Linked DNA regions of Oryzias latipes. The protein of the gene in region 3 interacts with the protein of the main gene of each other region in a pairwise test. Links are inferred from orthologs where the notes say so. Each region holds a gene or a part of one and is shown on either strand. Other genes may lie near its edges. The genes, in order: rassf2, mylip and rassf5.

What was found.
Region 1: the proteins of rassf5 (region 3) and rassf2 interact in binary tests that used the Homo sapiens proteins (3 or more experiments, as listed by UniProt). The link is inferred for Oryzias latipes from reciprocal best matches to the Homo sapiens genes RASSF5 and RASSF2.
Region 2: the proteins of rassf5 (region 3) and mylip interact in binary tests that used the Homo sapiens proteins (3 or more experiments, as listed by UniProt). The two-hybrid records come from large-scale screens. The link is inferred for Oryzias latipes from reciprocal best matches to the Homo sapiens genes RASSF5 and MYLIP.

What each region holds. Positions count from the first base shown.
Region 1 is NC_019867.2:6,444,146-6,455,575, forward strand, and holds the start of rassf2 (ras association domain-containing protein 2), read right to left. Parts: upstream 5,665-11,430; 5' UTR 5,381-5,664; intron 3,116-5,380; exon of another isoform or gene 2,108-3,115; 5' UTR 1,989-2,107; intron 1,371-1,988; 5' UTR 1,350-1,370; coding exon 1,297-1,349; intron 1-1,296. UniProt on the Homo sapiens protein: Potential tumor suppressor. Acts as a KRAS-specific effector protein. May promote apoptosis and cell cycle arrest. Stabilizes STK3/MST2 by protecting it from proteasomal degradation.
Region 2 is NC_019869.2:23,668,278-23,679,880, forward strand, and holds the start of mylip (E3 ubiquitin-protein ligase MYLIP), read right to left. Parts: upstream 5,962-11,603; 5' UTR 5,788-5,961; coding exon 5,701-5,787; intron 5,104-5,700; coding exon 4,913-5,103; intron 1-4,912. UniProt on the Homo sapiens protein: E3 ubiquitin-protein ligase that mediates ubiquitination and subsequent proteasomal degradation of myosin regulatory light chain (MRLC), LDLR, VLDLR and LRP8. Activity depends on E2 enzymes of the UBE2D family.
Region 3 is NC_019863.2:28,043,826-28,047,924, forward strand, and holds the start of rassf5 (ras association domain-containing protein 5), read right to left. Parts: upstream 2,801-4,099; 5' UTR 2,717-2,800; coding exon 2,014-2,716; intron 1-2,013. UniProt on the Homo sapiens protein: Potential tumor suppressor. Seems to be involved in lymphocyte adhesion by linking RAP1A activation upon T-cell receptor or chemokine stimulation to integrin activation.

The DNA.
Region 1 (11,430 bases), on a different chromosome or scaffold from region 3:
ACTGCTTTAGCCAATCATAATAGCTTATCCTGTTGTGAACCCGCCCACTTTAAGACAAAACGGGGTGGTGATGCTTTTGGCTTGTACAGTTTATTAATCAATTCTGTGTTTAACATTCAGTAATAATGAACACAAAACCAGTAATTATTGAATTATGAACATTACTGGCAATTACCTATAACCGCCAATTCAAACAGCATTATTACAAAAATGTCAATTGTGGAAACAAAACTTTTCTTTGTGATAAAAAATGGTTTTATTGCAAAATAAAACATATTACTCTGACTACAAATACAGAGAAGATTATTGTGAGAGTAAATACATTTTTTAAACAGTTTAGAAGAAGAACTAATACAAACAATAAACTGTAAAAGCACTTTTTTAATCTAAAAACTTAATTTGAATCTTTGTTTGCGGTCATTTAAAGCAAATTTTTGAATTCTGCAGTACATAAACAAGCAGCAAAACATATAAGACGATAATGCTTGCTTTTATCGTACATTAGATTAGTTATATCTTGGTTATTATTGTTGACCATATTTAGTATCAGGCATGACCATGCTTCAATATAATTATTGTAACATGCATTCAATCCTTACCGTGGGATAAAAAATATAACAACCAGCAGGGAAAGCAAAGGTCTGGAGGCAAACTAGTCTGAAATATTGATTTACTGACTTTAAATGTAATGATAAAGGAAAATATTTAAAGCCTCTTAATGCACCAATAAATTGAAGCACTCGCTGAAATGACTTTTGCTTGAATAAAACGAATAAGCATTATTTTAAAAATAGAGTCTAAGTGCAAAGGGCCTTCAAAACAAAATATTCTAATCATTTGACTTCTTTCTTAAACGGTTAATGAAGTTCATGATGAACGTAAAACGTCTTATTGTGACTCAGCAAACTGAAGGCTGTTCGTTTGCCTCAGAAATGAGGAACAGCGACTTCTGAGAGAGTCTGTGAGACTACCGTTCTATTTCACAAACCAACAGTTTAAACACATGCAGGACGGCGGATAACGTGGCTGCTGACACACGTGTAACCCTTGTGCTGTCTTAGATGACCCCACCCTTACATTGACGTGTTCTTCCTACCATGACTAAGGTGGATAAAGGTGGAAAGATTTCATGTAATCCATGGACACCAGTGAAGATCACAAATCATTGAAGAAAAAAGGTTCAGAGCACAGTCTAGTGGGTCTAGATGACCCAACTCCCAATGTTAAAGTGCCTAGGATAGCACAATGGTGAACTGTGCATGTTTAGGTGTGAAATGGCAGGAAGACTTCGCTTACTTGCTGACAAACTTGTTCTCTCCGATCTGAACCTCGTTCTCCGTCTCATCCATTCTCCGTCAGCATGGGGGGAGCTGGCAAACAAAAAGCCCACAGAGTTAAAGCTCGTCCGTCTGACTTGGTCCCATGACTCCTCATGACAAGCAACGAAAATCACAAAGAAGCTGGGCTGAAGAGGAGGAACAGACTGCAGGAAGAAGAGGAGGAGGAGGTCCACCTCCGGACTGTAGACAGAAACAACAGATCCTATCTTCTTTCCTGTCAAACTTTTTCTTTCAAGATTTCGAAAAGTGGGCCTCTCTGCACACAGCAAAGAAAACTGGCTGTTGCCAAATCTTTAGAAATGAACGCTGCATTTTCATCCATACAGCTGCCAAAAATGGCTCTCAGCCATCACTGTGGTGGGGGTTTGGCAGGAAGAGCGTCTTCAGAAAGAGATGGACAGGTGTGGGACATATGGGCCACCCCCAGGTTGGAATTATTTCAGCTGCTTGAACATTCATCACTATGCATTCAACACTGACATGACAGAAACAAATGCATTTTTACTGACAGGAACTACAGCCTTTACGCCAAAAAATACTAGAAATGCACATGTGGTCGTTTCGGCTCCAGACATTTGCTTCAATGTGAAATGAATGGTTTTTAAAACCCAGACTAAATATAATATTCTACGAGCAAAGTGATCGTACCGTGATGACTGTCGATTCCTGTGGAGTCTCCTGAGAGATGGCGCCGTCAGCGTGAAGGCGCAATAAATGATTAAGCAGGTCGACTTTCTGTCAATCCCTGGTGGTACCTTATCATGTATCTGTGTCAAAGAGCCAGAAAGTGGGTCTTTGGAGCGTGACAGCAAACAAATTGTAGCAAAAAAAAGAAACCTAAATAGCAAAGGGTGTTTAAAGGAAGTGAGTGCTCCCCTTCCGTCAAACAGCTTCCTCCTTAGCTCAGTCAGTCACACAGGAAACTAACATCACCAAATCCACGGGCCGGAGCTTCCTCAATTCAAACAGCAGAGAAGATTTCCTGTGTTCTAACTACTGAACATGTGACGGCCAGCAGACACACGGCTAAGCGTGTTTGTTCAAAACGACGGCTGTCAATCTCTGATATGAATGCGTCCGAATAAAACAACCACCAGCCATGCCAAGCTCATCAATAATTCAGCACTCATATTAAGTCTGGCGTTCACCCGACAGCTCTCCATTGACCCACACAATGGCGGCCATTAGCCTTTAATATCATCGTCTGAAGGCGGCTGTGCTTGAAGACTTTCCAACAGCTGAAGCCGGTGCTCTGAAACTGACATGTGGCCAGCTGCTGAACCTGAACAACGCTCAGATGTGGTGTCAAGTCACAGGAATGACGTCAACTTCACATCAACTAGACCGGAGGTGGGCCAACGTTTTACCTCGTGGGCCATAAAGGGTTCTAAAATTTGACAGATGGGCCGGACCACAAGCAGATGCAGAGTGCTTTGGTAACATATGGGGAAAAACTATACATATTTTAAAACACAACATTTAGGAGTTTTTTTTTCAAAACTTTGGCTTTTGTTCACAGCCAATTGCACTGATAGGTTTGTGTCCTTCAGGGAAAAACACAAAATGACACGTGACCATCAGAAAAACAACAAATCTTCAGACGGCTCATGAATGCAGAATAACTTACTGACGGGCAATTTATGTGTAGAGCAGCATCAATGGGAAGACATCAGAATTAAACGTAAAATAAAACTTTAATAAGGATTGTCATTATCATTTATTCCAGTTTGGTGGGCCAGATTAAATAATTTAACAGGTTGTAGTTTGCAATGCCCACCCCTGAACTAGACAGAAAGTTAAAAAAAAAAAAAAAAACCTCAAGTGTTCATATATTTCCTGGTTTCTATTATTCTTTTTTGTTTTTTGATTGCCAAGACAACATTTAAGCTTAGCTTTCCGGATTGTTTTATCATTTTTACCAATGCTAGCACCAAATTGCAGCTACGGTTATTAAAAATTATTGAATTGAGAAAAACGTTGAAATTGGCTGTATATTTAGACTTACAGAGAGGAATAGACATCGGAATAACATTTACCAAAAGAATATTGTTTTAGGCAACTTTAAGAATGAATTAGGGCAACACGACATAAAGAAAACTCACAATGTGCCATATTTGTGATCCCTATGACTGTCGATATGAACAAATAGTGAAGTGAATAATGCCTCCTTTCCATTGCACTACAATTTTTTTAAATAAATAACTTAAACTGACTTCTGCCTATGGAGGCAGGCTTTTAACATAAAAGGGTCCATCCGATTGGTCAAATGCGTAAAAGGCTCAAATTAGACTGCTAAATAATAAAAAGCTGCCCTAACATTGATGTAGTGAACATTTACTGTTATTGTAAAACGCGTATTGCACCGGTTGATGTTGTGATGACGATTTGCGATTGGCCTGGTTTAAATCCTCTGCATAAAGTAGCGAGTAACTGAGCCAACATCTGCATGTGTTGCTCCAGTTGTTTTGGATCTCTGTGCTGGCAGGCAGTCCAAATGTAGACCTCATTGACTGCCAAAAATTCCCATGAGTCTCGTTACGACCTCAGACGCTCCAGTCCTCGAATGTCTCAGACGCCTTCACTGCATTGTTGTTTGGAATCACATTAAAGACCCACTCCAATGAATATTGTGTCTTTTGGAGTTTTAAACACGTTTTTGAGGCATTTTTTCCTCATAATGGAGGACATAAAATAAAGAACAACAAGATGAAATCTGCATGTCTGAGTATTTCTTTATTCAAATTGAAAAAATGCAGTCGGAAAAAGGCTTGTACAGTTGGTGTGTCACAAGCTCTCTGCTTCACTTCTTTCTGATTCACCTGCAGACAAACAGATCCTTGTCTGAGATGGATCTAAACTGTACGGCTGGATAGCTCTGATATTGCTCGCCACGTTTGCTGCACCGGTAATGTTAGGTTGAGGATATGAGGAGCTGTAAGCTAGCTAGAGACAGTGCAAACAAAAGGATGATGGAAAATGAGGGCAGGCTCACTGCGTGTCAAAAGTCTCCGATGAATTTTGGATGAACCCCTGCCGCTCTGCAGAAACTAGGTCCTAGAAAACGAGACAGATTTTTTAAATTTAGGCTAAAAATCGCATAAATCATAATGACATACCTCTGGGAATGCATTGAAAATAGATCAAAAGATGATTGGAGGGGGAATTTAAAGAAATCTGGTGCACAGCGTGCTATTAAAATTCAAGACTCCCTGTGCTGCCTCCTCAGCATTTCTCTGCACACATGCTCCCTTGTTGTCTCCTCCTCTCCATCAATGCTCCTCCTGGCAGATGTGGTGAATGAGGAGCTCCAAATCTTTTGCCTGTCCTTTCTTAGCACCACCGACACCACCTCCCATTGCCTTTCAGCCTCCACATAACTCCTGCTCTGCCTCACTATTGTCACCATTGTCATAGCAACGCCAGAAAACAACTGTGCTCCAGAAAACAGCACACCCAGCCTCTTCTCAGTATCCTTGCTTCCTAGCAGCACAACTTCTATCCAAAAAACAAAGAAATAAAGATGGCTCAGATGTCCAACCAGACATTTAACTGAACTCTTCTCTCGTTTGTATGACAAAGGATTGTCCAACAATGGAAATCTCAGCTTTACTTGTTCCCTTTAGTTGTGTTTTAAAGGATACAGGCTGCAGCTTTCTGTAACACTTCTGTAACCTTTTTGACAAAACCATGAATCAAACTCTTAGGTATTTCATTAAGCTGTAGAGACCGGGCAGTGAATGTTTTTTTAAAAGCCTCCTGCCTCCCTGTAGCTGTCACAGCAGTGATGAATTTCGCCTATTATATAACGGCCGCTGGTCGTGAATGCTTAGAAAAAGCTGTTTCCCCTTCTTTTATTTTGGCTGCTGGCTGTGAAATCAAGCGCGGCTCTGCATGTAAATTACAACATGAAAGATTGCGGATTTTTGTTGGGAGTTTCTGTAAAGAAAAATGCGTGACTCGAACATACATTTCCCCGCACTTGTAATATTACTGACTGTGGGACTTAGCAACCCCGCGCCGACTCTGAATCTTATTCCTACCGACTTTCGGAGGTCCTCTTTCGGTTGAGCTGCGGCGCCTCTGATGTGCTTCTTCGTCTTCCTTTGATGGAAAACCTTCCGTTAACTGTCAGCTTTCCGCGTCCGCCGTCTGAAACACTCAGACGGGCGCGTGCAGACGAGCTTGTAAAAGTGGGATTTTAAACTAAAAAAAACGAGAGGAGGGGAGCGCGAGCTCCATCTGCTGTGGTCGACCTCGCGGGGGTTCGGCCGCGAGCCAATCGGAAGGCGAGACCGGCGCGTCTTTTGTTCGCTCCGCGTGCGTTGCTGAATGAAAACATGACAACAATGGGAGAAGCGAGCATGCGCAAACTCTTAATCGGCGTGCAAGTCACTGGAATCCCAATGACGGACTTGTTACTATTGTTTAGACGTAATATATTACTTTACAATAACAGTTACCATGCTTTTAATGACTACAAATGTCTGTAAACTGCAAAAATCATCTCTCACGCGTTTATATGCTCTTTAGAAATGTGATAATCCAAATAATTTGAAAAGTTAAGGTAAAAAGTAAAGAAGACTTAAAGTAAAACTACAAAGGGGCTGAAAGGTCATATAAACTAGACATTTTGGTAACCTGTTGAACAACTAGCCTATACAGATTCAGGGTGGATGGTTTGGACCGCCTCTGGGGACTGTCAACAAATTATCGAGTTTTTTTTTTTTTTGGTCAATAGCATTTAAGTTATTGGACCCAACCACACCAAATTACTCGAGTATAGTAAAACTGGCTAAGCACTGATACAGTAGTTTAGATTTGCTTTAAGGCTTTTTCTATTTTTTTGTTAACGGAGGCGGAAAGACCCACGGCAGAGACACATTTACCCATTTGAAAAGTAATTCACTCGTTACTTTACATTACTTTTTGTTCATACAAATTCTCAAGGGAAAAACAGCACAAACTAGATCCTTTCATCTCTCATTTAACTTTATTTTTAAAGCAATGGCCTCGTGCAATAAACGTGGTTCAAGACAAAACCTGGGTTTATTATAATTCAGTCAACAGTGTGAAAAATGACACAAAAGAAAGTTCACTGCTCAAAGTGAGATGTGGGGAAAAAGATAAAGTCATTCTGACTGGAGGGGCGGGGCTAGAACCGGCTCTTTCGGTTCTTAAGTGGCTCTTCGGGTCATTTTATTCCTTAAATTCCTTCATTATCAACAACAATAGGAAACAATTATGCACAAACTGAATGACTAATGTAAAAATGTGTTTCTATTTATGGAAAAAATAATTATGAAATATTAAAAACAACTATTTAAATTTCAACTTTTTTCTTTTTATGATGAAGCTTTTTTTCCTTTTAAATAAATTCAAAGTGAAACAACTTCTTGTTGCATCAGTCTCTTCCTCATGCAGGTGCATGGTTCCTGTGAATCTGTGTAGCGAACTAAAGCTCCTCCCTCTTCTGCTCAGTGGTGAGAGTATGTAGAACGGCTCCCAGGAAGGAGTTGGCTCGTGTCGTTCGCGCACGAGCCAGCCTTCTCTGTTTCGTCTAATTAACAGAGAAAATGGTAAATAAATTAAATGGCAAAATAAACAAATAATTGCAATTTATTTACTGAAATTGGAACAGTATTTCGTTACTTTGTAATCCGTCGCCCCAAACACTGCCCGCGAAGAGACCTGCAACGGCAGTGACCCGAAGGGCCACAGCTATCGCATCACATTAAAAACGTCTTAGGTTGAAGTTTGATAAATAAAAAGGAATTTCAAATAGAACTCAAAGTGTAACATTTATGTCTGTGTGATCAACATATAAACATTAATGGTGTAAAATAGAGATGAAATTATTTAAATCCTAATAATTGTGGCCCTACAACAGACTGGAGACCTATTCAGGGTGTACCCCACCTTCACCCAATGGAAGGGATTTAGCAGGTTTGAAGACAGACAGATTGGAATTGTCCTGTCCAGGAAGAAACTAAACTTCTGTTAGTTGAGGAAGGAGAGGAGGAAGATGTTTTTGTAAACAAAAAAGGAAATGCAGGACTGTAGGAGAAACTCTGAATGTAGAAACTCTGACAGGGCAAACAGAGAGTTGGTGACATGATGGAAAGAAGATGGTGGTGTGAGGATGACTGTGGTGGTGAGACAGAAGAAGAGGACCATGGGAGGAGCAAGTGCTGGAAGTGGTTTTTAGGGAGGAGTTTAAATAAGCATTGGGAGATCAGATAGAAATGTTCTGTAGATGTGTTCGAGGAGTTGAAGGCAGAGGTGGGACTGTACCAAGGATCAGCTTTGAGCTCCTTGTTTGCTGTGGTGACGAACAGACTGACAGATGAGGCTAGACAGGCATCTCTGTGGACAATGATGTTCTCAGACGACACTGGGAGAGCAGGGAGCGGGTGGAGGAACCTTTATAGGGGTGGAAGTTTGCTCTGAAAATGAGAATGAACATGTGCTGCAGCAAGACAGCATCTATGTGAGCAAATGAGAGGTGGACGACGGATTTAGGTGCAACGTGTGAGTAAGAATGAAAGGACGTGTAGAAGAATGTGGGGAGAGCAGCCATGCAGGACTGCCAGAATCCAGGCCTAGAGGGCCGGTGACCTACATGTTTTTCAACCATCCTTCCATTGAAGCTAATTATTGGCTAAACACACCTGATCCAGGTAATCAACAGCAGATAAGGCAGGGTTTCTGGAAAACCAGCAGGAGGCCGGGCCTCCAGGCCTGGATTTGGGCCCCCATGAGGCTCCGAAAAAGAGACAGGAGGCAGAGATGAAGATGCAGAGGTTCTCCTTGGCCATGACCAGGATGGATAGGACCATGAATGAATCCATCAGAGAAACAGTTCATGGTAAATGTTTGAGGACAAATGCAGGGAAGCAGACCGAGATGGTTTAGATACATAGAGAGGAAGAACAGTGCTGATGTTGGTAAAATGATACAGAGGATGGAACTACAAAGAAAAAGATGCCTGGAAGAAAACCAAAGAGGAAGTTCATGGATGTTATGCAGGACAGGTTATTGTGAAGGAGGAGAATGTAGAATTTGGGATAGGATGGAGATTTTCTGTGGCAACCTCTAAAAGAAGCAGGTAAAGGTGATTAAAGAGAATCTCCACAGGGTGGTAGATTTCCACGTTTTAGACGTTTTAAACGTGTAGATTAGCACGTTTCCCCCTACTGGCCATTTGTTGTACTGCGTTTTTTCACCCACATAAGATTTAACCCTTGTGCTATTTTAGATGACCCCACCTTTACATTGACGTCTTCTCCCTACCATGACAAAGGTGGAACGATTTCATGTAATCCATGGACACCAGTGAAGATCAAAAATCATTGAAGAAAAAAGGTTCAGCGCACTGTCTAGTGGGTCTAGATGACCCAACTCCCAATGTTAAAGTACCTAGGATAGCACAAGGGTTAAAAAAAAACAAAAAAAATACTAACAAGTACGCTTTAAAAAAAAAGGACACAAGACTGAATTCATTCTGTAACATCATATTAAAGTTTTAGGAACAAGAATAAAACATTTTGATGCTACAATTAGTTTACACAACTCTGACAGAATTTTTTGCAAACATTAAATATATTTTGCGTGTTAACCATTTAAAGCCACTTTGCTTGATCTTTGATTTAAACTGGCAATTTATTGTATAGACATAAAAAAATTAAATGCCTTAAAAGAAAAATAAATCACCAATTCAAAATAGGATCCAAATGCATTTACTTTTTAGATTAAAAGTACAAGACAGTGCGCTTTCCATGATGAATTAAGGTTAAAAGTTGGGATTTTTTTTTCCATACAAATATTTGCTTGCAAAACAAAACGATGTATAAAAAACATTTTAAAAGAAAAAACAAGAAAAAAAAACAAGTATAATCTTCAGGTAGCACCCCCTTCAAAATAACTGAAAGGGATGAATATCTTTGTTTTTAAATCCCTCTGGTCACTTTCTTAAGAAGCCAGAAATATAACTTTTTTATTCTAAATGGACCACTTGTGTAACAAATTTGTTAAAGATAAAAATACTTTTCAGGCACAAAGACAACCGACGTTCATCTGAAATGAAAAAAGGCTGCCAATGAACAGGCTTTCAGCAAGCGTCCCCTCCTGTATCCAGAAATATGAACAGGTGGAACTCCTGGAGAGAAAAACCAGGTAGACTGCACATGACAGGACATCAGTACATTTTCATAGCAGGACAGGGAGGATGGTATCAAAGGAGAGTTCATTATAGGCTGCATGATGATGGACCGATGCAATGGTATTGAAAAAAAAACCAAAGAAGATGCTGCGACTTTTCCCAAATCTACTTCATCACCAAAAACTCTTCAGTGGAGGAGAGCGTCAAAATCTTCAGTGCATGAACTCTGGGCTTACAATTAATGTTAATGTTAAACTGTCTGATTATTGAATAGTAGATATGTTTATAAGAAGATTTCAGTTCTAAGTTTTCAGGTGCGTAAATCGGACTCTCGGACCTCTGATTTTGGCATCGTTTCTCGTGCAAACGGCGTTTACAGAAACAAAGCTTCAAAAAAAAAACCACCACCTAGTTTTCAGGTTTTACGTCTTAAAGTGTCTCCATCTTGCTTATAAATATAATACATTACATATGGAATGGAATAAAAGCAAGAAACGATAGACATAAACAGTAGAAACCACCTCATCAGGTTAAATGTAAACATGTAAAACTAACTAATTAGATTCAGCACTTTCCCACAATGGAACATACAAAATAAAATCCTTCTCCGTGAAAGCATTTAGCATGTTACTTATAAAACATGTAAAAAAAAAAAAAAAAAAAAAAAAAAAAAAGTACATTTTTTTCAGTAGCAACAAAAACCAAAAATGACATAACAGCAGAAGTAAAATGAGAGATTTCAGCATCTTGCTTTGGTAAAACACCAGAGGAGTTCCATATTCTTCATCCTTTTTAAACTGTTTTCTTTGTTAGCTGTTGGAAGCAGCTCAAGAATGCAGATTGGTCGGATGTTTGGGGTGACAGAGCAAAATTTAAAAAAAAATAACTGCACAAATCTAGATTCAGATGGGTGAATGAAAGAAAAGCCTGACTTCTCACCAACATATCCTTGTTTTTCAGAACAGTTGTGATGACCAATCCACAGGAGATTAGTAATCCCTGCACTCGGATTAAAAGTTATACATTTTTCCTGCTGCTCCTCATTCTCCAGACAAGGCCCTGCGTCTATAGCTGTGTGTGTTTGAACACTGTAGCGTTCATAAATGCACTCGTGTCACCATGACGGTTTCATAGCTCGCTCCAATAGAAAAGAGCAAACATGTAAAGCAAATAAATGTATTCATCCATCTTTAGTATAATGTATAAAATATTTTTTAAAAGCTTACTGTGTGGAATAAAATATTTTGGGAATTATGTCAGGAAGTTTGGATTACTAACCGGTGTATAATACTGACAGGGAGAGGGGATGTAAACTTGGATGTCAAAGATGTGAAGCTGTGGAGCTGAGAGTTTAGTGTGGGAGGTGAGCAGATGATGCAGATGTGTGGATCTCTGAGGAAGAGGAGAGAGTTCTGGGGCTGTGCAGTGACATTCTACTTTTGAACTCAGGAGGCAGACAGTGCAAAAAGAAAAAAGAAGAAAAAAAAACAACTCACAATCACATGGCTAAGAGCATCCGACAAGCTACTTCCATCAGTCTGCACTGCAGCACAAACGAGTTCCACGGAGGCTGTCGGTGTGTGCGTGCATCTCAAAATGCGGTTGCATAAAGTTTGGAGGCAAATAAGTCGGAACGTGGTCCTCGATTGACACTACAGCACTGCTAGTTTTTAGGAGAATGCTTTCAGATGAGTTGGGGAATGGGCGCGACTGCAAATTCTGTGGATCATCAACCGAGTTGGATGTCCGGCTGTCGCATTGTGGAAGATGATCAAAGCGCGACGGCTGTTTTTCCCCCCTGCTTAATGCACACATGGATGCACACCAACAGACCTCTACCTGGGGACAACAGTGTGCAGTGACTTGCTATAGCATGCTTAAAAACCTAGCCTAAGAGGCTTAAGGAAAGACATACTGCTGAGGGGGGTGGGG
Region 2 (11,603 bases), on a different chromosome or scaffold from region 3:
GAGCACCACGTTCTGGTTTGGTAGGGAAAACAGACGCTACAGCAGGTCTTTTCATTGTTTTTGCTACATGATGTAAAGAATTCTTTCCTTCACCTCAGCAGGAGACCATGAGGGGAAACATCGCAGCTAACAGGAGCGCTGAACACAGATCCTCCCTTCAGATTGACCTTTGCCACAGTAAACAGTAAGAAGATTATGAACTAGTCACCTGCTCTTAAAACAGTTGCACATTCACCTCTATGCAACAGTTTGACCCACTTTAAGTCCTCTCAGAACTCAACAAATCAGACCGGTTTCCTTTTTTACCCATTAAAACAATTCAATTTTACATTTTTATTGGAGTAAATTAGATCCTACAGTAACTTGAGGTTGTTTGGAAAGTTTAAGATGCAAGTAAAACAACATTCTTCCCCAGTAATGTCTACAAAATAATACAACTGAAGGCGGTTGGAAAGAAGGAGATTGTTGTTTTCCGTGATCCTGCAGTACAAACAAGACTACACCTTGTGACAAGCGCCGTGTTTCAGCCGCTGCGAATGCAACAGCAGACACGCCTTTGCAAAAACGTTCAGCTGCGAGGGGCGCACAAAGCCAAGTCTACGCCGCCACCTGTGCAGAAGCCGGAGCGATGCGAGGACCAGAGCATGAGCGGCCTCGGGCATAACAAACACGCTTTGATTTGGTGTTAAACATCCCATTCCCTCCAAACGCACACAAACACTGCACTCCATTGTGTCAGGCCCAGCAGGCGTCATGTGATGGAGCACTGCTAGTTAGCTACCTGCCTGATGCAAACAATGGAGCTGACGTTACAGAGAGTTTACTACAGGTCGTTGGCACAGGGTTACTATAGGGCGAGGCGCAGGTTACTCTCGGTTACACAGGTGTTTCCGTGAGGTTACCGTCAGTCACAACACCTACATGTAGACGAAAGAAGGGTTTCCTTTAAAAAGAAGTCACAATTTAGTGAACTGAAGCCAACAGTTCCTTTACATTAAACGGTGAATTCAAGGGATTTTAGAGGCCCAGAGAGCAGAAACGGTTGTTGTCACCGCGGGCCGCTTCTGCCAGACAGCTCTGAGAGGAACCAAAGGCCGAACACCAATGGCTTCATGTGGATGAAAATACACTTCTTAAAAAAGGTCAACTTGCATCATCAACTTCCTCTGGGTAAAAGAAAAAAAAGATCTGCCGCTTTGCAGAAACCATCTCCTAGAAAATGACAAGTTTTTTGATTTTGATAAAAACGGCACAAAACATAATTAAAAGACCACTAAGAAAACTTTTGTAATACATCAAAAAACGATTGGAGAGGGACTTACGTCAGTAAGAGCTTGAACTAGCAAGAAGCTTGCTATTCAAAATAATAATAAAAAATTAAAATTTACAAAAAAGGCCAGGAGTCTGCTGAAAAACGTATTCATTTATTGACAGACCTATAAGATAAAGTTTAAAATTTAAATAAAGTTTAAGAAAAAATTATAAAGTCAGAAGAAAAAAAAAGAGTTTTTAAACAAGACATGACTTGGAAGAGTTTACACGAAACAACAGGGTTTTTTTAATACAGCGTGTACTGTACAGTTTAATCTGCAGGCCATTATTGCAACACCTTGCAATCCTTTGAATGTCAGGAAGTTTATTGAGACTGAAGTCTCCTGTCCTACTTCTACTGTATTACAGTTTAGGCCACACGTCTTTGTCCACAAGATACAGACCGCCTGCTAATATAAGCAAATAAACAGACTCAAAGCTTCGTGGCACAGTACCAAAGAGGAAAAATTATACTCATACAAGTAAGACTTCTCAAAACAAACAAGTCAAAAGCCTGGGTTCTTGTTTATGTTTGCTCGGACGAAGCATTAAAACCTACTAAAAGAAAAACCGGCTGTTTCAGGAGCTGCACTCAAACTGAAACCTAACCCTGCTGCCTGGATACCGAGCCGCTTTCAGCCAATCAGCAGCAGAGTTTTACATCGCAACAATGCGGCTTGTAAGCTAGTCAAATACCACAGCCAGAAGCCATGTGTTACGAGGTTACTCCCAGTCAATGACCTGTAGTTAACTCTGCACGCCAACTTCTCCACAGTTTGAGGCGGAATAAAACAGAAGATGTGCAGTTTGAGACAAAGCTGCAGTTCACGGATTTTATACATCTATGCCTTCAAACTCAAAAGGAGCTTTGCAGTGATCCAACAAACAGGCCGTCTGTGCGAGACATTCTTTGGGTTTTCACAGAACAGTAAACTGCAATTACAGCAGATGTTCTAAGAGATTAACAGGAAAAGTGGAGCAAAGAATAAAAAAAAAAAACAATAGTTATGGTGCTTGATGTGAAAGATGGCAGGATGTGCCACCATCTCCAAAAACACATGAGCCAAAATAAATCCTCTTGAACAGTTTTTGTAGAACAGTAGTTTAAGAGAATGCTTTCCTTTCCAAGTGTTCTCACTGATAAAAAGTAAAAATACTCTTTTGTGGAACAACAGTTGTGCAAATTGCCCATAATCTTGACTCTTACCTGGATCTGATCGACATCTTATGCAAACTCACGTCCCTGCATACAATTTTCCCCTCAGTTAGTTGCGTTGGGTTTAGACACAATGCCCCATGGGAAAAAAAAGCATTTACCATAAGTACCGTTTCAAAAACCCAAAGAAGGCGATTCATTTAAAATATACATGCTTTACCAAAAAACAAACCTTCATAAATCACGTTTTTCCTTAAATTCTTAAATTCTTAAATTTGTCAACAAAAATAATTGAGTTTAGGGTTAAGATTCCTGCTAACCTGCTCTTTCAGGGCATCAAACGTTTACCTAATCAGAATGCTGAACACATTTGCTGAAGGGAGGAACCTGAACAGCCCCAAGCAAGCAGGGTTTAATGATCAATGACAGCACCAACACGACCAATAGTGTTATTCCAGTACTTAAGCACAGACCAAATGGTCCAAAGGAAAAAATAAATAAAAACCCAAGATGAACTACTTTGCAAATCGGCCAGGAATCTCCTGAAGAAGCCTGATCAAAATATTCAGAAACACACAAAAAAAGGCGGGTCAAAAATGAAGTATAAAGATGCTTGATAAGAACGTGAATAATTTAAGGCTGTGCATGGAAAAAAAAAAACAAAAAAAACAATCTGATTAAAATTAGTAAAAAAAACAAAAAGACAAAGATCTGTGGAAAAGCAAAAGGACAGATGCCACCAATAAAAGGCTAAGCCAAAGTCTAATGAAAATAATATGCAATTATTGACCTCTGAATATACAAAATATAAAGATTTTGTGATTAATTCGTTCTCAAACAAAACAAATCCTCGCAATCCCAACCTCATTAAGGTTAGGTTGTTAGGTTTAAACATAGTAACTAAAATAAAAAAATTGTTTTAGACATTGAAACTTCCTAATCTATAGGAAATCTACAGAAACTGTGTGTGTGCGTGCACATGAACACTTAAGTGACCAGTAAAAGCTTTATGTGGCAGCAGAGCACACAACATCCTTATATAATCCACCATGAGGTCAGCAGGTTACATAAGCGGGCTGCAGAGCGGCCTATACAGACAGGTGCCAACCGCCCAGCGCATCTACAGCGAGCGCGAGTCGTCTACAACCTGCAGGAAATGCCCTTCACGTCACGACCAACACCTGATTCTTTTCTCCACATGAAATGTGCAGCAGAGGAGCATAATGAGGAGTGTCTGCTTGAAGTATATTAAGCAGAAAACTATTTTTTAATTAGTTTGTTTAAAGCCAAGTCAAAGCTATTAAAAAGTTTCAGGAAAAAGTTCTTAAAAGAATTGCACCACAATCTGCACAAATAGGGATTTAATATGCAAATTAAGTAACAAAGTTCCCTAAAAGATCAATTTATAGTTTAAAAATGGAACAAAAAGTTTTTTTTTAAAGTAAAATGTAAGTGTTACAGCATGTTTGTGTGTGCTGCAGCCATGCATACCGTTCCCTGTCACTTCACTTTATCTCTAGCCTGACCCTACCACCCTCCACTCACCCGACGCCAGCTATCTGCTGATAACCCCAGCTAATCGAGTGGCGGTCGGAGCAGAGGCAGCCAACTGTCCCCGTGCCCTCTCCCCCAATTCCCCCCCCCCCCCCCCATCACATTTGTCTCCGGAGAGGATGCCAAACATGGACAACAGCAAATGATCTGATGTACCAAAATAATGAGTGAATTCAACATAAGTAGATTAAAAATAAATAAATAAAATAAAAAAGAGGGAATAAGTCGAGTGAAGTTGTCGGTTTCCCGGCGACATGCCCCCCCCTTATAAAAACAATGCACAATTAACTTTTCTAGGACCCAGTCCAGTTGGCTCAAATCATGAAGAAGAAAAGAAAGTAGTGGATGAGTTTTTTCCTGCTGGGGCTAAGCATATTTCTGACAAAAAAAAAAAAAAAAAACTAACAAAGGGTCCACCAATGGCACAGTTTCAGCTGTGACTCAATGACCCACATGAGAGAAAACAAAAGCGGTGGGGGAAAAAATAAAAAAAAAGGCACTGCTGGCCCGTTTCCAGAGAACATCTACAAACGTGTCAAAGTGTTAAAGTGCTTGTTTAGAGAAATAAAACAACAAAAAAAGCTACAAACAAGGTTCACTCATAGAAGCAGAGACATGGGGGGGGGGGTTCTGTTTCGTCAGAATGGGTCTCTGGGGAAGCGTGAGGAGCTGCTGGGATCACATTTCCAGCCAAAATGACCTACAGTAACCCCGGAAGAGCTCCGGAGAGAGGTTACTACAGGGCATTTCCACTGCACGGCCTGCAGGGTGTTTGAGCAATGCCTTTGTTTTGAGTCAGCCAGAGCGCTCTCCTCTTTGTCAGTCATAGGGAGCCACGAGGAGAAGAAGAAAAAAAGAAGAGGGTTGAGGGTTCAAACACTGAGCTGGTACCTGGTCTGTTCCTGCAGAATGAGATGGGGCTCCACAAAGAACTTGACCCGCAGCCTCAGCCGGCAGGGTGTCACATTATCCATCTGCTGGCAGATGCGATTCCTCAGATTCAGCCACAGATTCTCTCCTTTGCTGCCCGTGAACTGCAGCCCAAAGTAGTCCGCTTCAATGATGCCCAACTTCCTGCAAACCTACAAGCAAGAGAAGAAAAAAAAAACACAACGCCGTCTGTTTCACTGCTTCAATACAAAAATAAAGTAATTTAATTAGTCAGAAAGTGAAGCAGGTTACAGCTTGTTCCTCAAAAGCACAATTATAGATATTTTTATATATAAATAAAACCAATAGATTTTCAGAGCTACAGGGAGGTGATTTTAAAGCTCTTTGTCTTTTTGCGCCAATAATAACCAGAACTAAAAGTTTAGAAAAGTTTCATGTGCGCCTCCTGAAGAATGAACTTTAGTAACCCCGGACACTCAGCGCCTCTCACTTAGTGACTAAGCTCTGCACAAAAGTGACCGCCGGCAATTTTCCCCAGCACCGCAACCAAAAAAGCGCTCCAGACATGAGAAGAGTTAACAGTTTTTAGCTGGGAATTCATGCATTTATGTGTGAAAACATGTCAAAGCTTTTGTTTTGGGGGCTAACACGCGGATCTATTTACAGGAAGTTCAGCGCCAGAAAATAAGCAAACGTGGAAAACCTTTGTTGATTTTGAACCACAATGTTGCGTTTAAAAAAAAAACAACATAGTAATTTGTGATGTAATATTTGAAGCTCAACTTTACCTTATTCAGACAGTCTTCCCCGTTTGCCTTCGCATCGACTTGCACTTCCATCACCACCGAGTCCGGACGAGTCACGTGGCAAAGCATTTTTGGTCGCTGTCCGTGGATCTTTGGTGTGCCACGCGCTGAAACAAACAACTTTCGTGTCCTCTCCAAAACCGTCACGTCCACATCAAGCTTTCTTCACGTTCAGACGCTTTCACTACGCGAGCCGAATCTGCGCTCCCCAGCTGGACCCTATCTCAATGAAACCCGCGAAGAGCACCGCCCACTAAACACTGACCAATCAGAGGCATCTTAAGCATTCTCTCTGAGATCTTTTAACCAATCAGGAAAGCTGATCAATTCTTAACTCCTGAGGGCGCCCCCGTGTGGCCAAGCTTATGCTTATAGTTCGGGGCTTTTCACTGACCTGAACTGAATAAATTAGACATTTCTCCAACTCCAGAAGACCTCGCGGTGAGTTTAATGAGTCGTGCTGTTCGCCTTTCTGTTCACAACATGTAAATATTCCATGAGACTACTGTCTAAATATAGATTTTCATGAGAGGGAGAGTTTTCCGGTTTGCTTGCTCTTTGATGCTCACATGCATTTTTCATAGTGGCTTATTTTTTCCATCCAATTTTACCTTTTCTTTTCTTTTCTTTTCTTTTTTAAACATGTCTATGAAGACTCTCATTCGTCCAGGTTGGTTCCATTGTAGTAGGTTTAGGGGTTGTCATCTGGACTTGGTTTTTAAAGTTAGAAGACGTTTCACCTCTTATCCAAGAGGCTTTGTAAATGTTCTTTTTTAAATAGAACAAAATTCAAATAGATGTAAAAGATGATCATTTCACTGTCAGCTTTTAGACTCCACAACACCTCATACACACTTCACTGTCATTTATATTGTAGCCCAACTAATGTTGTTACTTATAGATTTTGGTGTTATTTATAATCAGTATTATTATTATTTGTTGTATTTGAAGTTATTGTGACAAATCTATCTATCTATCTATCTATCTATCTATCTATCTATCTATCCATCTATCTATCTATCTATCTATCTATCTATCTATCTATCTATCTATCTATCTATCTATCTATCTATCTATCTATCTATCTATCTATCTATCTATCTATCTATCTATCTATCTATCTATCTATCTATCTATCTATCTATCTATCTATCTATCTATCTATCTATCTATCTATCTATCTACCATGCAAGGATTCTTGCATGGTAGGGCAGGGCGGGAACCAAACCGGCAACCTTTTGATCAGAGGGGAACTTCTCTACCTCTGCACCATGACCTCCCAGTGCTTTAATATGATTAGGGTTGAAAAATAAACATTAGCTAACCACTGATTAATGTGATAAATAATATATTTAGTAACGGAAAGTCATGCATAAAAGTGGCACTTACCACTTTATTTAATATTTAAGTAATGTTTACTGATGCATTAACTAACATTAATTGTAACGTTGTTCAACTTGTGTCTTTTATGCTGTTTTTCTATGTGATGTCTGTTGTTAATATTTTAAATCCTTTTTTTTTTGTTAGTATTTTTTGGGGTTTTTAGTGTTTTTATTAGTTAATTTATATGTGCTTGTAATGTTTTTTTTAATGCTTTTTTATCTAGTGTGACAGCCATCCAAATTCCCTCTGGATCAATAAAGTATTTACCTAGTATTCATTTTATTATTCACCTAACTATCTCTGTACTTATATCCATCTTACATGTTGTTCTTCAACTAGATGTTGTAGAAAATGCCATTGTGGTAAAAAAAAAACAGTTAACTTATTTTAGGTTTAAGTTGCAGTTGCTGTTAAAACTGTCAGCTGTTTCAGTGACTCATTTGCATAACTATTACCCCACCTCTGGCTGTATTCACGTTGATGCCATCCTTTTAGAGAGACTGAATATTTCATCCTCAGATGCTCTGCCTCATCACGCCCTCAGCATCTACTATTTTCATGATTTATTATTCACAGCTTTGTGATGGAAGGAGCCCAGGCCAGAAGAAAAAGCTGCAGTCTTATTCTTCAACCATGGTTGCAAAGCGCTCAGCCAAGCTCGTGATGTGTCTGCCAGCGGGACATATTAGAGTCAAGACAGAGTGCTTTTCTTCATTTCTGCCTTCTTTATGTTGCATCAGTGACACTAATGAAACCTGAGGCGATTCAAAACGACTCAATGAGAATTTAAAAAATGTCCACTTTTTGAGTTAAATTGTTTTTAATAAATGCGGAAACATCTGAACACATTTGTGTTTGTTTAACTGATCAAAGATAATCTGATCATATTGAAAAAAGGTTTAAAAAAATGCTGAAGAAGAATCTGGAAAAAGCTGGTCGTAATGCAAACTTTGGTTAATAATCAGTCTCTCCAATCCAACCAGCAGCAGAAAACCCAGCATGGCCTAGTTCTCACAAACAAAGTAAACAGAGTATGGAATGTGTGTTCTCAACTGGTTTAACCCTTGTGCTATATGCACTTTAACATTGGGAGTTGGGTCATCTAGACCCACTAGACAGTGCTCTGAACCTTTTTTCTTCAATGATTTGTGATCTTCACTGGTGTCCATGGATTACATGAAATCTTTCCGCCTTTATCCACCTCTGTCATGGTAGGGAGAACACGTCAATGGAAGGGTGGGGTCATCTAAGATAGCACAAGGGTTAAATAGTACGAGTTGTTTTCAGTGTAAAAGGGGAAAAATACGTCACTTTAAGTTAAGCCACGATAGCTTCACTTGTAGAAAATATATAAAAACAACACAAACAGAGCAGATGTTTTGCCATTTTTTAGTGAGACATCAAGGCAACCTTGGTACTCATTGCAATTATTTTGAAAGTTGTAAAAAAGAAAAACTCATTTCTGATCATCCCTTTTGCCAAAACAGTCATATAAACAACATTTGCCTCAACACAGTTTCATGGTGCAATTCAGAATAAAGTACCTTGCAGAGTTTTGCAAAATTTAAATTAAAAAATTTAAATTATTCATTCATTCATTCATTCATCTTCTTCCGTTTTGTCTCTTTCGGAATCACTGAGTTGCTGGAGCCTATCCCAGCCACTTGTGTGCGAAGGCGGGGGGCACCCTGGACAGGTCGCCAGTCTGTCGCAGGGTAATAAATGAAAAATTGAAATTACATTTTTTATTTCATCGTGTGACTTTTAGTCACCTAAGATGAAGACTTGAGTGAGTCAGCGTGGGGGGAATCTTGCTAGGATCCCTTTTAAAAAGGGATACCAGTTTTACCAGTAATTATATCTCTTATTGTTTGTGAGAAGCTCAGCCTACATGAAGTCATTGCCAATTAAACTTTACCCTGAGGTGATATAATTATACAATGACTGTATGTCGCAGGAAAATGTCTGAGCTAGCTATTATCAGAAATGTAACATAGATAGTGAGACTGTGGCAGATAAGATAAAGTGTAGAGGTGGGATTGTATGCGTAGAGATGACACAGCCTAGCACTTTACCACAATCTGTTTTTTTTAAAAAGCAGACTGAATTGATGAAATAACAACTTCTAGAACAAGTTCTAAAAAAAAATCACAATTGTGTTCAGCAGTCTGGCTTTAGTCTGAGTTAAGATCTTGTCTAGATGAAAACAATGAGTGGAGCCCCTAAGCATTTCCATCTCTCACAGTTTTTACAGGGACTATTTAAAGGATTAGTGCCATCTAGTGGTGTAAGCCATTAGTTGCAGTCAAATAAATGTGTACCACAAGGAGAGTCTCAGTTGAACTAATAGAGGATTGCAGTAGAGTGAGCTGCATGACGGTGCAGTGGTTAGTGCTCTCACCTTAGACAGGAAAGGCCCTGGTTTACAGTTTTCCCCGTTGGTTTGGCTCATTTCCTGAAACTGAAATGACAATCTCAAAGCTAAAAAGTCATTTCTGCATATACACTTCTGCACAACAGTTCAGCTGACTGGAAATAGCAAAAATTCTTTCCCAAAACTCATCAGGCACACTTCAGAAGCAGATTATTTTCTCAGATGAAGAGTCAATGGCATCAAAATGGCATAGATCCCTCTAAGTTACTTTGGCTCATTCTCATCCACTTAGTTCTTTTCTCAAAGTAACTTGGATGCTTCAGCACAACACCATGGATCACCTGCGGACGCTGATGTCTCTCCCAAAACAGTTTATCCACGGATCAAAACCAAGTTTATTTCTCACACAAACAGTCAAAAAGCATCATCCCTTTGGTAGTTTTTTGAGCACTGCAGGTCAGAATGCTTAGATTTTTTGTCACTATTGAAGAGCTCGAGCTAACAGGTTACATTTTTATATAAAAGTAAAAGACAAACAAAAGAATTTCACAGTAAGAGCAGCTTCTGAATTTGGACTTCACGCACATGTACACAGCATACACTTCTCTGTACAAGTCCAGCGTAAAAACACGACCAAAAGAAAAATCCAGTAGGCTGAGAGAGCTGTAAGTGACAGATTACAGTAAACTTCACTGGTCTCTGTGGGTGTCCTCCCTCTCGTGGACATCGTCTTCATGCTCTTGGCCATCCACACGCTCCTCTGATATTTTCCCTTGCTATGCAGCGAGTGAGGAAACGACGTGAACGTTTTAACCTTCCCTTGCATTGACCCCATGTGATGTTCTCACATGCAACATCCATCACTTGCAGCAGGGACCTCTTACTCCCCCACCACGCATCCTCACTCCTCCAGCTGCTCCTCTTCTTCTACTTCCTCCAGCTGCTTCTCTTCCCCTTCTTCCGGCAGGAAGCTGACCTTGCTCATTTTGTTGGTGAGGTAACTCTATGTTCAAACTACAAATGTTATTGGCCCTGGCCTATTCTGTTACACATTTACCAGAATTCACAATCACAGAAAGCACCTGTGAGGTTACAGAACTAACTGGCTGATTGGAAAAACTCTTCATTTATCAGTGAAGGTTTCATTTCACCCGAGCGTCAATAATTGTCTTGAATTTAACAATTGTTCCAAGAAATTCATGCATGTTGGTCAAAGAATTTTCTTAACTAATTTTTAAATTGAACAAATGATTGTGCATATGACAGCTCCCACAATGAAATCTTGCTGACATGTTTTAAAGAGAATGGCCTTTAGACTGAGGATTGAACCAATCAGTTTAGATCAATAAGATCTAAGTAATTGTAAAATGTGCTAAACATGGGTTCACTGTGCTAACTCTATGCTACACGTACAAGACCACTTGCAAAGTTCACAGACACACTTGAGACATCAATACAATTGCAATTGGATGAAAGCAATGAGAAATGACATTTTGTTGTGAACAAGTGCAAGTAAATTTTCCTTCTGCCCCTATTAACATCAATTTAAATATATAGAAACACTCAGAAATGCAATTTTGAGCTTAATTTTCTTTACACATGTCGTCCATCATCAGAAAAATGCCATAAGAACAGGTAAAAACATCAAAAACACAGTTTTCATCAGAGCGGGCTTTTAAAGACCAACATTTGTTCTTTCAGGGCAACTTTTGTGGAACACTTTTGCCCTTAAGATCAGAAAAAAGGCTCAAATATTCACATCAACTCCTTGAATGTACTAAACTCCCATAATGGCTAAAAAGCCAAATTCAAAGCTATACCTTTATTTTTTGTTCATACAGGTTCAGCTGTTTAAAAAAATTGCATTACACTGCATGATGTCACAACAAAAGAGTAAATTAGTGGGAAATGCTCTAAAAAATAGTGTTTTCTGTGCATGGACAAAGAATAACACATTTTTGCATATTTAGGTCATCTTTTTTTTCACCTCCCCATCTGGATTCGTGCACAAACACAGAGCATTTGCATCCTCCTGGTTTGCAGCTGGGCATGACATCCTGCAAAGCGACATCACTTTCCTCTAAGGCAAGTCACTGCTCACTCGACTGGAGCGTGAACACATAGCCAC
Region 3 (4,099 bases):
AACATCTGTTCAATTAGAGTTCATGAAGCTGTCTGATTACAGGATTACAAATCCTTTCAGTCACACAAATGACTGCCTTAACCCTCATAAAGTCTTTATCTGGGGCTCAGATGCTGAATCCAAACCTTAAACGCAGCTCAACAGAGATTAAAATGACAAGTATTAAACACAACCAAGTATTAAGTGTTAAAACTGGAACTGTGCTAAAGGACCCGTTTTGTTATTTAGGCTTTGAAAGAGATGAAGCCACTAAATCCATTAAATCAGAGCAATCGAGCCACAACAGCATGAACTTCTGCAGGCATTTAATTAAACATTAATCTGACATCTGACTCTGTCCGTCTGTTTTTAATCGCTACTCCTGGGATATAATCCTGAGCCAGAGACACGCCGGGCTGGGATTAAGGTGACTGCTATTCTTCCGTCTCCTTTCAGCTGTAAACCATGATCTTATTCTGATTAAAATGAACAAAAAATGAATGTTAAAAAGTCACTGATTTACTGAATATAATGGGTTAAAAAAAAGGGAAAATATCTCACATAGTTGACAATCTTTACTGTGGAAAATGAGGAAAAAGGAAGATCAAAGGGAACGAATGGAGCAACAGATTGGGTCAAAACCGAGCCCCAGATGACACGACTTTGAGTTGAGGTCAGACACGATGGATTCCTCTGAAGAGGAAAGACCTCAACCGTCCCAGGAGATGTTCAAGACTCCTCACAACAACCAGGCTTAATGAGAAAATGTGACAAAAAGTAAAGGAAGATAAAAGGAACAAAGCAGCAAAACAAAAGGATAGATTTGTTTATAGCTGGAAGACCTCAGTTCTTCTCTCCCTGTCATTTACTGGGTTTACCCCAAAGACGAAGGAAAAGAGAATAAATGCTGTGTGTGTTTTGGTTTTCCACTGGTGCGTTCTCCATTTCCCACACAGAAGAAGCTCTCAGTGCCTGGCAGAGCTTGTGACTCCACACTCACGTCCACTTCCTGACGAGAAGGTGGATGTTTTCTCCTTCAGACAGCGACGGTGCAGCTAATCACTTTGATCAAAGACAGAAAGGGCTTCGGAGGACAGAAAGTATTAAAGTTCCAGTGCAGCAAAGAAAGAACACGAGTCTCTTTGGACGTGTGTGTTCCAGTAATCTCTGCTCACGCCTCAGTGAGCTCTAGCCGATAAATCAGACCAGGCTTTCTCCCTGCAGCCCGATCTTAGGGCTTCTTCTCATTCTAAACACTTGTCGTCCTTTGCTTTGCTCTTCTCTTCAACCCATTTGTCTGCTCATTGCCTCTCAGTGGCTCTGTCCTTTCATTTGCCTTATCTCCCCCTGCCCTGCAGCCTCCCCATGACAGCGCCGCTGCTGACACAATGCCAGCTCAGCAGCCGCATGCATGCAGGGGCTGGTGGACGCACCTTCTCCTCCACACAAAGCCTGTGTGTGTGTGTGTGGGTGGGTGTGTGTGTGCAGCAGAGAGGTTCACACCGCTTCTTCAGGCTCCGCTGAAGGAAAGAATCAGTCTTTCTGTGTGTTTGTGCAAACAAGAGCAGGTCAGATTAGATCTGAGCAAACTTTCTGTCTTGGGGAGGTTAAGAGGAATTCAAAATATCCGTCTATAGAGCTCTACTGAGAGGAGGGGGGTTTTCTGACCAACGGTGGACTTTAAAGTTGGCAGTAAACATCAGTGTTTACAGAAGAAATGACCAACAAAACATGACAGTTTGCCCTTTTAAACCACTACAGTGGAATTACTACTGTTGAATTTCCTCTGCTCATATTGCTTAAGTAGGCCAAACAGCTTAAGCTTGCATCCATATCCAAGTGGGAATTTTGGAGGCAGAGCTGGAAGCAGGAGATAATCAGGCCTCCATGAGGGGATTTTGGGAATCTGATGATTGGGAATGTTGTCTTTCATAAAGCTGCGCGCGTTAAAAGCAACCCACTGAATCCCAGTTACACACAGTGAGATGAAAAATGAAGCTAAAAGTCAGCTGAGTTTTCAGGACTCATCCTTACTTTGACACTTGAGGGCTTGAGCTGTGATCTGATGGCTGCAGGCATCACACCAGTCCTGCTTCACGGGCTTGCTCTCGAACCGGTGCCCCTCGCCCCTCTCCGTCCTCACCCGCGGGTCCATCTCCCGCGGAAAGATGGACCAGGCCTCCCTGCGGTGCGGCTCGGTGCGGGCCAGCTTCACGACCCCCGTCCGGCCCCGCGTGAGACCGCGGAACTCCTGACCGGAGTCTCCGCTCCGACAGTTCCGCCTCTGGTGCGGCGAGTCCCGCTGCCGGTGAGACCGTTTGTGCTTGGTCTCCTTCAGCGAGTCCGTCCTGCGGTGTGAGGCGCCCTTCTTCACGTCGCTGCCAGCGTCGGTGGGGAGTCGCGTCCCGGCGGTGACCCCGTCGCTGCCCCGCTCCCCGCTTTGCTCCGGGCTACGTGGCGCCTCACTGACAGCCGGAGCCCCGCACCTCTCGCGGGACATCCTTCGTCCTTCAGCCGCCGCTCCTCCGCCGCCGGGTCCGCGCGACAGGGGATGCTGATTCCGGGGCTCCTCCTGGGTGTCGCCGCCGCTCATGAACACCATCTTGTCCCAGGAAGATTTTCTCGGGAAGCCGCTTTTGGTTTTGCTGCTGGAAAGCTTCAGATACAGAATTTGCGGTTCCGAATCCAGCCTGCTGTGCGGACCCGGCTGCTGCCCCACCAAACTCACGGACGCCATTATCCCACCGCCGCTCTCTGACGGGCGTGTGAGCGGCTCGTGCCCTGACTGTAAACTCAACCCGCGCGGGGATAAACGTGCAGGCGTGACGTAACAGATCAACAGCTTTAAATGTCACGAGCGCGCTCCTTCAGAGAAACGGGAGCGCGCTTTAATCTGCTGATTTGAGGTTGTCCAAAAAAGTAACAAATAAATGAAAAGAAATTGTATTTGGTGGATTATTTCTGCTTCGTTTAAGCTTAAAAAATGTATTTGCTATTAGAAAACATAGTCTAAAGAAAAGTGTTTTTTTAACACGCTCTTGTGCCTTTTTTCTGATGATAGAGGACATATATGAAGGAAATTAAGCATTTCTGAGTATTTTTTTATTCAAATAGTTGTGGATCAGGAGCAGACGAAATAATACCATTAAAAAGTGTTCATTAAATTTGTGAGTCTATAATATTTGTGACGTTGGAAATATACTGGATGGGCCACAAGCTCCCTGCTCCGATCTCTCAGTAAGGGGAGGGGAAGGGGGGCGGGGTTGCTTCGCACCAATGGTTGGGCCCACAACTCAGACGTAAATTTCTCATGAGTTACTGCCACTCTGCAGAAACTATGTCCAGGGTGTCCACTGCCTTTGCCTATGAGTGGCCTGGATAGGCTCTGGCAGCCCCATGACCCCCGAAAGGGACAACATGGATTTAGAAGATGAATGAATGAATAAAATTTTTTTGACTAAGTAATAATCATAATTAAAAGATCACTGGGAACACTTTTAAAAAAGCTCAAAATATGATTAGATCGATTCTTTAGATGTTTGGTTTAAAAAGTTAAATTCAGTTTATTTTTTAAGCTGAAACGCCCAACAGAGGCGTAAAAACATCTGAAACAAATCCCACTTGTTTCAGTCAGAAAATATCAAACTTTCCACTTCGCGAAGAGCGCGTCATATGAGCAGCGACAAAACCACAAGCAGCTGAAAAAGTCCACCAGGACGCCCACACCACCTGCACACTACAAAGATTTCCACTTTCAATACTTTCTATGAGAACAAGTTTACTTTTTACATATTTATCTTGTTCAGAACATCAGTTTATTATTTTTTGAAATTAAAAGGACAAAAGTGTTTTCTGTATGTCTCTGATTGTATCTATATTTTCCAATTTGATTCACATTGACTTGATTTTATTTTCATACCAGATGGGGAAAAAAGGCTGAAATCCACTTGAGTCAGGTTTGATTCTTCTCATGCATGAATTAGCTCATACATGGGTACTATGTAGATCATTTACCAAACAACACATGGGATTCCCCTGAACAGAGAAGACCACACTGTCTAGAGTAATTTTGAAATGTGTAACTCCCAACACAACCTAAAAAACAAAAGGGACCTTAAGG